2 linked regions of the Macaca mulatta genome follow. The protein of the gene in region 1 interacts with the protein of each later gene in a biochemical or structural test. Links are inferred from orthologs where the notes say so. Each region holds a gene or a part of one and is shown in the gene's direction. Other genes may lie near its edges. The genes, in order: leukocyte immunoglobulin-like receptor subfamily A member 4 and BST2.

Region 1 (4,362 bases):
GTGGGGGTGAGCCTCGGAGGAGATGAGATTAGACTGAGGGTGGAAGACGGAGGCCCCACACACTCTGCTGCTGATGTCTCCATCTCAGAATCAACGTCTGGGTGTCCCAACCTCTAAGTCCTGACCCCATGGGAGATGAAAACGCAGTTACTCTGACCCAGTATAATATTCTAGACTCGTCTCAACCTTATCTCCAATATTCAGGAAAGGGAGCAGAGGGGAGAGTGGACAAAAGGGGCATAGTCCACGTGGCTTCCTGGGGCCCCGAGGATGGGGCAGGTGTTCCCTCTGTGGTGGTCAGAGGGGAGGGAGGTGTCCTAGGACCAGGCAGGAAGGAGGGAGCAGCGATGATGGGCAGAGGAGCTAGGTCTGTCCTCCTCTATCTGAGCAGGATTTGGGGTCCCGGGGTCCAGGCCTGACATGGACAAGGGGAAGACGCTGAGGCTGTTTATATCAACCATAAAAAACTGGAAATTTCACTTTTATATTTCCAAATTGTAAGCCCCTCTTTCTCACCTCAACTATGAATATATATGTAGTTAAATTATATATATATATTTTTTTTTTTTTTTTTTTTGAGATGGAGTCTCGCTCTGCCGCCCAGGCTGGAGTACAGTGGCCGGATCTCAGCTCACTGCAAGCTCCGCCTCCCCGGTTCACGCCATTCTCCTGCCTCAGCCTCCCGAGTAGCTGGGACTACAGGCGCCCGCCACCTCGCCCTGCTAGTTTTTTGTATTTTTTAGTAGAGACGGGGTTTCACCGTGTTAGCCAGGATGGTCTCGATCTCCTGACCTCGTGATCCACCCGTCTCGGCCTACCAAAGTGCTGGGATTACAGGCTTGAGCCACCGTGCCCGGCCTACATTATATTTTTTAGGACAAATATCTAAAGCCACATATACATATGTATCTACAATCATTGTATTAATCAGTTCTCACACTGCTATAAAGAACTACCTGATGGGCCGGGTGCGGTGGCTCACGCCTGTAATCCCAGCACTTTGGGAGGCCGAGGCAGGTGGATCATGAGGTCAGGAGATGGAGACCATCCTGGTTAACACAGTGAAACCCCATCTCTACTAAACATACGAAAAAATTAGCCGGGTATGGTGGTGGGTGCCTGTAGTCCCAGCTACTTGGGAGGCTGAGGCAGCAGAATGGCGTGAACCTGGGAAGCGGAGCTTGCAGTGAGCTGAGATTGCGCCACGGCACTCCAGCCTGGGTGATAGAGCGAGACTCCGCCTCAAAAAAAAAAAAAAAAAAGAACTACCTGAGGCTGGGCACGATGGCTCACGCCTGTAATCCCAGCACTTTGGGAGGCCAAGGCAGGCGGATCACCTGAGGTCAGGAGTTAAAGACCAGCCTGGCCAACATGGCAAAACCCTGTCTCTACTAAAAATACAAAAATTAGCTGGTCGTGGTGGCAGGTGCCTGTAATCCCAACTACCCAGGAGGCTGAGGCAGGAGAATCTCTGGAACCTGGGAGGCAGAGGCTGCAGTGAGCTGAGATCGCACCATTGCTCTCCAGCCTGGGGGACAGACAAAGACTCTGTCTCAAAAACAAACAAACAAACAAAAACCTACCTGAGATTGGGTAATTTATAAAGGAAAGAGGTTTAACTGACTCACGGTTCCACAGGCCATACAGGAAGCATGGCTGGGGAGGCCTCAGGAAACACAATCATGGCGGAAGGTGGAGGGAAAGCAGGAACGTCTTCTGAGGCTGGAATAGGAGGAAGAGAGAGAACGGGGAGGTGTTGCCCACTTTTAAATAACAAGATCTCATGAAAACTCACTATCATGAGAGCAGCAAGGGGGAAGTTGGCTCCCACGAACCAGTTACCTCCCACTGGGCCTCTCCTCCGACACTGGGGATTAAAATTCAACATGAGATTTCAAAGGGACACAAATGCAAACCATGTTAATCACATGTATTTTATAAGCCATGTTAATCACATATATTTTATATGAATATATGTACTATGTACATATATAGACACAAACATACATTCAAGTATTCATTCCTATGCTTAATATTTTTCATCATTTTTTTATATTTATTTGTTTTTATTTTTTATTTTACTTCAAGTTTGGGTATGTTTTTAAATATTTGCTTTCACCTTCCAATCTAGGTTCATACTTCAAAAAAGCAGAAATGATGTTTTTCTGTCCCGCTCAGTCATTATCATTTAGAAAACAATACATTTTCATATTTAAGTATATCACATTGTTGGTGTTCCTAACTGTATGAAGAATTAGTTAACAAGACAGTAAACGAATGATGAAACCGCAGGGGAGCTGGCTGAGGCAGCACGCAGCGGGGGCCATCGCAGCCTTCAGTCCTTGTACTCCTGACTTTCAAGAGCTACCGAGGACCAACTCCTCATCCACAGAGACTGGGTCCTCATCCACTGAAAAATGGAAATTTCTGTCTCTGGGGGAATTAGTTTTTATGTTCTTGTTGCACAAGATTGCACATCCAAGACAGCACACAAGAGCTCAATTCTTTCTAGTTGGGAGATCATTCTTCTCACTAGTCCTGAGCTCTTGGGCTCAAGGAAACGTTGTTCCAAAGTGACTCAGACACAAGATCTGAATTCCCAGAGCAGAGAGAGGTTGAAAACCCCAATGACATACCAGGGGAGGCCTGCTAGAGCAGAGAATGTGTTCACTAAGGATCTACATAAAGCCACACCATGAGAGATGGAGGAATATAAGAAAGCAGAGCCTGGGGGAGAGGCTCTTCAGCTTCTTGCCAACATCCTTGTTCTTTGATTTTTAGAAGCAACTGAGACCCTCAATCCAGCACAAAATAAGTCAGATTCCAAGACTGGTGAGTGAGGAGATGCTCCCAGTTATGGGGCTGGGCACAGAGGGTCAGGTCCTGTCAAGGGGAGGTGGGTACCCTGGGTGGACATCCAGGGGTCCTGGGTAATCATGATCTGCCCTGACCTCTGTGACCTCTTTGTCCACCATCCCTAGCCCCACACCTCCAGGATTACACAGTGGAGAATCTCATCCGCATGGGTATAGCTGGCTTGGTCCTGGTGTTCCTTGGGATTCTGTTATTTGAGGCTCAGCAGAGCCAGAGAAGCCCCACAAGGTGCAGCCAGGAGGTGAACAGCAGAGAAGACAATGCACCCTTCAGAGTGGTGGAGCCCTGGGAACAGATCTGATGATCCCAGGAGGTTCTGCAAGACTGGGGCAGCAGTTGGGGAAGTGTCTGCTGAGAATATCAAGGGGAAGCAGCATGGGTCAGGTGCAGGAAGGTGTCTGGGTGTCTGTAGAAGATGCTTCCTCCACTAAACTGTGGTGCTTTCCTCCTCATTGTTGACTCTCCTTGACTGCCCCTCCCTTCCTTTTTCTTCCCTATGATGTAAGGTTTTGCCCCTATGGTGAGTTTGGGTCCACTCCTCTGTGACCTCATGCTCTGCTCCACTTTCAGGTAATACATCTTTCTTTATTTCTAGCTAGTGCATTTTCTGATGTGTATTACTGGGACTATCTTTTCAGCTCATAATATGGAATTTGCTTTTGATAATTAAATCCATGTGCAAAAATCAGATTTGCATTTGCAAAATTTAAGTTCAAAGTGATGCCCTACCACCTGTCACTCTCCATCTGTTGTTTCTCTAGAAATACAGTCACTAGGAATCAAAAGAGAGGTGTCTGATGGAAAAGCCTGCTGTTGTGCCCATAGACTGGCTTCCTGAACGACAACAAAAACGTTTTCTAAAAAGCATTTATTTGTGGAATTTGTTGATGACTGTGGTATAAACACTCCCTTCATGGGCAGCTTCAAGATTCTCACATGACTGCACCTTCCCCGACCTGCTGTCACACCCCAGTCGGAGCTGGTGGTCTTGGGTTGACGGTCTTGGGTGAAAGGTCCTGACCCTGCCCTCTCTAAGTTCGAAGGTTCGGCTCAGGCCCTGCCCCCAGGAGCGCTCTGGGCAGAGATGGAGTGAAGGGGGCTCTGAGGGAGGCTCGGCCACAGAGGAATTCGCCCCTCAGAGGAGAGGAGGCCAACAGCGGTTCTCCCTCGTCTCCTTCACCTGGAGTCCAGAAGGTGCTAGGTGGGGAGAGGGAGGGTCTTGGAGAGGCCACCGGGCAGATGGAGGGGAGAGCTTTGAGTGGAGGTGGGGACTGCAGGATAGCTCCAATTCCTCAGTCCCTTTCTGTGCCCATTCCCAGGACCCTCCAGGGATCCCAGCCCCCAACCCACAGGCTCCTCCTCCACACCGGGTGAGTCATTGAGGCCTCTGGGCTCGGAGAGAGGGCGGCCTCCCGCAGGGCAGTCCTGAGTCTCCCAGAGGATCCCATTCCCCTCAAGGACTCAAGTACCGGCTTCCCTCCAGAGCCA
Region 2 (4,565 bases), about 49 Mb from region 1:
AGGGATGTCTCCCAGGACCGTGGGGTTTAGCACATCCCAAATGGAGCCAACTATCTTTCCTCAAAGAAAAATCCCCACTAGGCCAGGCACGGTGGCTCACGCCTGTAATCCCAGCACTTTGGGAGGCAGAGGCAGGCAGATCACTTGAGCTCAGGAGTTCGAGACTAGCCTGGTTAACATGATGAAACCCCGTCTCTACTAAAAGCACAAAAAAACTAGCCAGGTGTGGCCAGGCGTGGTGGCTCATGCCTGTAATCCCAGCACTTTGGGAGGCCGAGGCGAGTGGATCATCTGAGGGTCAGGAGTTCGAGACCAGCCTGTCCAACATGGAGAAACCTAAACCTCTCTACTAAAAATACAAAATTAGCTGGGCATGGTGGCACATGCCTGTAATTCCAGCTATTCAGGAAGGCTGAAGCAGGAGAATCGCTTGAACCCGGGAGGCAGAAGTTGCGGTGAGCCAAGATCGAGCCACTGCACTCTAGCCTGACCAACAAGAGCAAAACTCAGTCTCAAAAAAAAAAAAAAAAAAAAAAAAAATTAGCCAGGCCGGACCACACCTGTAGTCCCAGCTACTGGCAAGGCTGAGGTGGGCAAATCAGTTGAATCTGGGAGGTAGAGGCTGCAGTAAGCCGAGATCGTGCCACTGCACTCTGCACTCCAGCCTGGGCGACAGAGGAAGACTCTGTCTCAAAAAAAAAAAAAAAAAAAAAAGAAAGAAAGAAAAAGAAAAGAAAAGAAAAAGGAAAGAAAAGAAAAGAAAGAGCCTCGCTATATGTCCATGTTCAAGCATTATCTTCCCATCCATCTGCCCTGAGCCACAGGCCTGGCAGGTGGCATGCGCATCCATTGAGCACCTACTGGATACCAAAGCACTTACTTTACTGGCATCTTCTCCCTGGTCACTCCTGGAGAGGCTGGCCCTGTTATTCCCCTTTACAGATGAAGAAACAGGCTCAGAGAGTTTACTTGGTATCCTGGAGTCCCAGGAGCACTTTTTCTGAAAGTTGAAGCCTGTTTCCTGCGGGTGCCAGGACAGAGTCCAACACTGTTTGTTGACTGGGGTATCCTCTCACCTGGGCTGTGTGTGCCTATCCAGTCCCCCAGTTTTCAGCTGGCTCCAGTCTCACCTGCTGCTCACACACCTTCCATGGCTCCCATAGTCCCCTCGGTGGGGACAGGGGCACTGGATGAAGCCCTGCTAGTCACCACAGAGACACCTGAACACAAAACCAAGTCCCTAGGGTCAGACCCAGGCCCTGCCCTCACTCAACTGTGCAATCTCAGTTTCCCCAGGTGGAGACTGGACCAACAATGATGGCCTCTGCCTCTTCAGGTCATGGTACAGATGAATACCATGGCCTAGGCACTCAGTAACACACAGCAGAAGCACAGGGACTTAAGATAGAGTCTCCCAGGCAGCCACAGTTGGCTGGCACCCAGTTGGGAAGGGCCCGAGGCCTTTTAAAGCAGGGTTGAAAAAAAAGCCCACCTCCTTTCTGGGAAACTGAAACTGAAAGCTCTAATTAATCCTCTGCCTGTAGGTGCCTCATGCAAGAGCTGCCGGTCAGAGCACTTCCTGGAACTTGCTATTGGTCAGGACGGCTCCTATGCTAATAGGGGGTGGCCCATAGAAGATTCCAGTACCCTCCCCTAACTTCAGGCCAGACTCCCTTCAGCTAGAGGGGAGATCTGGATGGCACCTATTTTGTATGACTATTGCAAAATGCCCATGGGTGACATTTGGAAGGAAGACGGGGACAAGCGCTGTAAACTGGTGATAGGAATTCTGGGGCTCCTGGTCATAGTGCTTCTGGGGGTGCTCCTGATTTTCTTCATCATCAAGGCCAACAGCGAGGCCTGCCAGGATGGCCTCCGGGCAGTGATGGAGTGTCGCAATGTCACCTATCTCCTGCAACAAGAGCTGGCCGAGGCCCAGCGGGGCTTTCGGGATGCAGAGGCCCAGGCTGTCACCTGCAACCAGACTGTGGTAAGCACCTCAACTCCTTTGGATGGCCTAGTACTAGGGGGTAGGGAGGACAATAATCTCTCCCCAGAAATCTGACACAGGGTGGGTCTCCAGGGAGATGCAAGGGAGGTCCCAAAACTGTTCCTGGGCCCCCACATCAAGGGACCTAGGTTCCCCTACCAGAGTATGGGGGCCTCTAACCCAGTCCAGGACACTGGTGTAGGGGCAGGGTGTTAAAACTCTCCAGAGCCCCCAAATCAGGGACCTCAGTATACCCCCCGGGACTTAGGTGAGTTGATAAATTCTTTCCAGGGCACTGGTGTTGGGAGCCTTGAAGCTCCTAGTGGGCACCAGTCCTGGGGGAGTAGAAACCCCTATTCAGGGTTGAAGGGGGACCTCACCAGACCCTGAAAAAGGGGGCTTTTGAAATTTTCACTTCATCACTAAGAAACTGAAATATTCACCTGGGTCCTGATATGGGGGATCTTGAAACTCTTGCTGAGCATGTCACTTGGGCTGGGAAATCCCACTGCGTTCTGGATTTGGTAGGGCCCTCTAACTTTTCTTGAGCCATAGACCAGGCAATCTGGAAACGTCTACTAAAGTGTGGTTATCGACAGTCTCCAACTTGCCATGTGGGGGGTCTCAAAACTCCCATTTTGAGGACCCACATGCTTATGGGTGGCCCTGGGAGAGTATGTGGTTGTGGCTGTTCTTTAAGGTTGGAGAACATGGTGCAGAGAGGGTTGGAAGAAAACCTGAAAGGGTTTGCATTTAAGGACAGCAGCCAAACTCCCCAGGCCAGAACCCCAGATTCTGACTCTTCTTAGATGGCCCTAATGGCTTCCCTGGATGCAGAGAAGGCCCAAGGACGAAAGAAAGTGGAGGAGCTTGAGGGTGAGAAACAGAGAAGGGAGAGGGCTAGGGAGGGGTGACTCAGCTATGGAAGACGGGGTGGGGGCAGGGAGACCAGGGCTGGAGGTTGGGGGAAGGGGGAGGTCCTGTCCCAGAGTGGGGCCGGGCCCCAGCATGGCCACGTGCTGCCCCGCCCCCTGATTCTGTCCTCCCACCCCACCAGGGGAGATCACTACATTGAACCACAAGCTTCAGGACGCGTCTGCGGAGGTGGAGCGACTGAGGTCAGAGATAACCTTCCCCGCTACCCTCCACCCGCCACACTCCTCTCACCCCCACGTCCCTACCCCGAGACCCAGGATCTCCTTTGCTCCCAAAATCCCCATTGCCCCAAGGGGTAAGGTTTGAGTCCCACAAAAGGACAACTTAGCCCCTAGGGTCACAGAGCCATGGGTGGCCCCAGTCCATTCCCTCCCCAGTGACTTGGATTGGGGCGGTGCGGGGGGAACTCCCGGGGGCGATGGGCTTACAGGGAGGGCGGCAGGAGCCAGGACGAACAGATGCCTGATTTGCCCCCATTTGCACCGCAGAAGAGAAAACCACGTCTTAAACGCGAGAATCGCGGACACGGACTCCGCCAGCTCCCAAGACTCCAGCTGCGCGGCAGAGCCCCCGCTCCTGATTCTGCTGCTGGGCTTGAGCGCTCTGCTGCTGTGAGATCCCAGGAAGCTGGTCAGTGAGGAGGGGGCGGCCCCGGGAGGGAGAAGAAAGCTGGGGAGGGGGGTCGGGGAAGCAGGGACTCCGAAGTCTGGAGAGAGGGGCTGCAGGGGGAGGGACTGGGTGCAGAGGAGAGAGGCCTTGGGGAAGGAGGGAGAATCCAGTGAGAAGGGCGCCCTGGAGGGGGGGTGGGGCTTATAGCAGTATGGGGCGGGGCTATGAATGAGGGCGGGTCTATCGATGGAGGGGAGGGGCTTATGGATGGGTGGGGCGGGGCCCGTGTCTGCTGCCTCCAGTCTGCCCTGAGTCCCTCTTCTGGTCCTTTAGGCATATCTTGGAAGATCCGGTTCCTGCTCGACTTTTCGCCTGGACATGCCCTTGATCTCATCAGTTCTGAGCGGGTCATGGGGCAGCACGGTTAGCGGGGAGGGCACGGGGTAGCCGGAGAAGGGTCTCTGGAGCAGGTCTTGAGGGGCCATGGGGCAACCCTGGGTGTGGGGACACAGTCGGGTTGACCCAGGGCTGTCTCCCTCCAGAACTAGGCAGGGAATGAGTCGCCCCTCTTGTTTCCCGCCCTGAGATTGGGCATGGGGTGCGGTGGGGGGGGCACGTGCTGCCTGTTGTTACGGGTGTTTTATTTTTTTGCGGGGGGGGTGTGTGCTTTTTCTGGGGTCTTTGAGCTCCAAAAAATAAACACTTCCTTTGAGGGGGAGCACACCTTACTCTCGAGTTCCTGAAGTGTCATTGTGTTAGTCCCTAAGCGTCGGGGCCGCCCCTGCCGGTGAGAGTGGACTCCCCGTGGATGACAACACCTCCCTTCCCTGCTCCAGGACATTTTCAGGAGCCCACGGAGTTCGGGGAGGCACCACCCCGGTTCCTCCCAGCCCTCATGTCTGCTGGGATCAACATAAGGACTGTACACCCTCATCAGGGCTCCCCGTTTCCCAGGTGTTTTATTCTCATCTCCTCCCTAGAGCCTCTCCTGATTCCTGGGGATCCAGTGAGGAAACTGAAGCTGTAACTG

What was found.
Region 2: the proteins of leukocyte immunoglobulin-like receptor subfamily A member 4 (region 1) and BST2 form a complex in vitro, tested with the Homo sapiens proteins (2 studies listed by IntAct). The link is inferred for Macaca mulatta from reciprocal best matches to the Homo sapiens genes LILRA4 and BST2.

The regions. Positions count from the first base shown.
Region 1 is NC_133424.1:66,649,973-66,654,334, reverse strand, and holds the end of leukocyte immunoglobulin-like receptor subfamily A member 4, read left to right. Parts: intron 1-2,781; coding exon 2,782-2,832; intron 2,833-2,921; coding exon of another isoform or gene 2,922-2,950; exon of another isoform or gene 2,951-2,981; coding exon 2,982-3,175; 3' UTR 3,176-3,559; downstream 3,560-4,362.
Region 2 is NC_133424.1:17,890,818-17,895,382, reverse strand, and holds BST2 (bone marrow stromal antigen 2), read left to right. Parts: upstream 1-1,666; 5' UTR 1,667-1,696; coding exon 1,697-1,990; intron 1,991-2,799; coding exon 2,800-2,866; intron 2,867-3,047; coding exon 3,048-3,108; intron 3,109-3,414; coding exon 3,415-3,541; 3' UTR 3,542-3,556; intron 3,557-3,868; 3' UTR 3,869-4,263; downstream 4,264-4,565.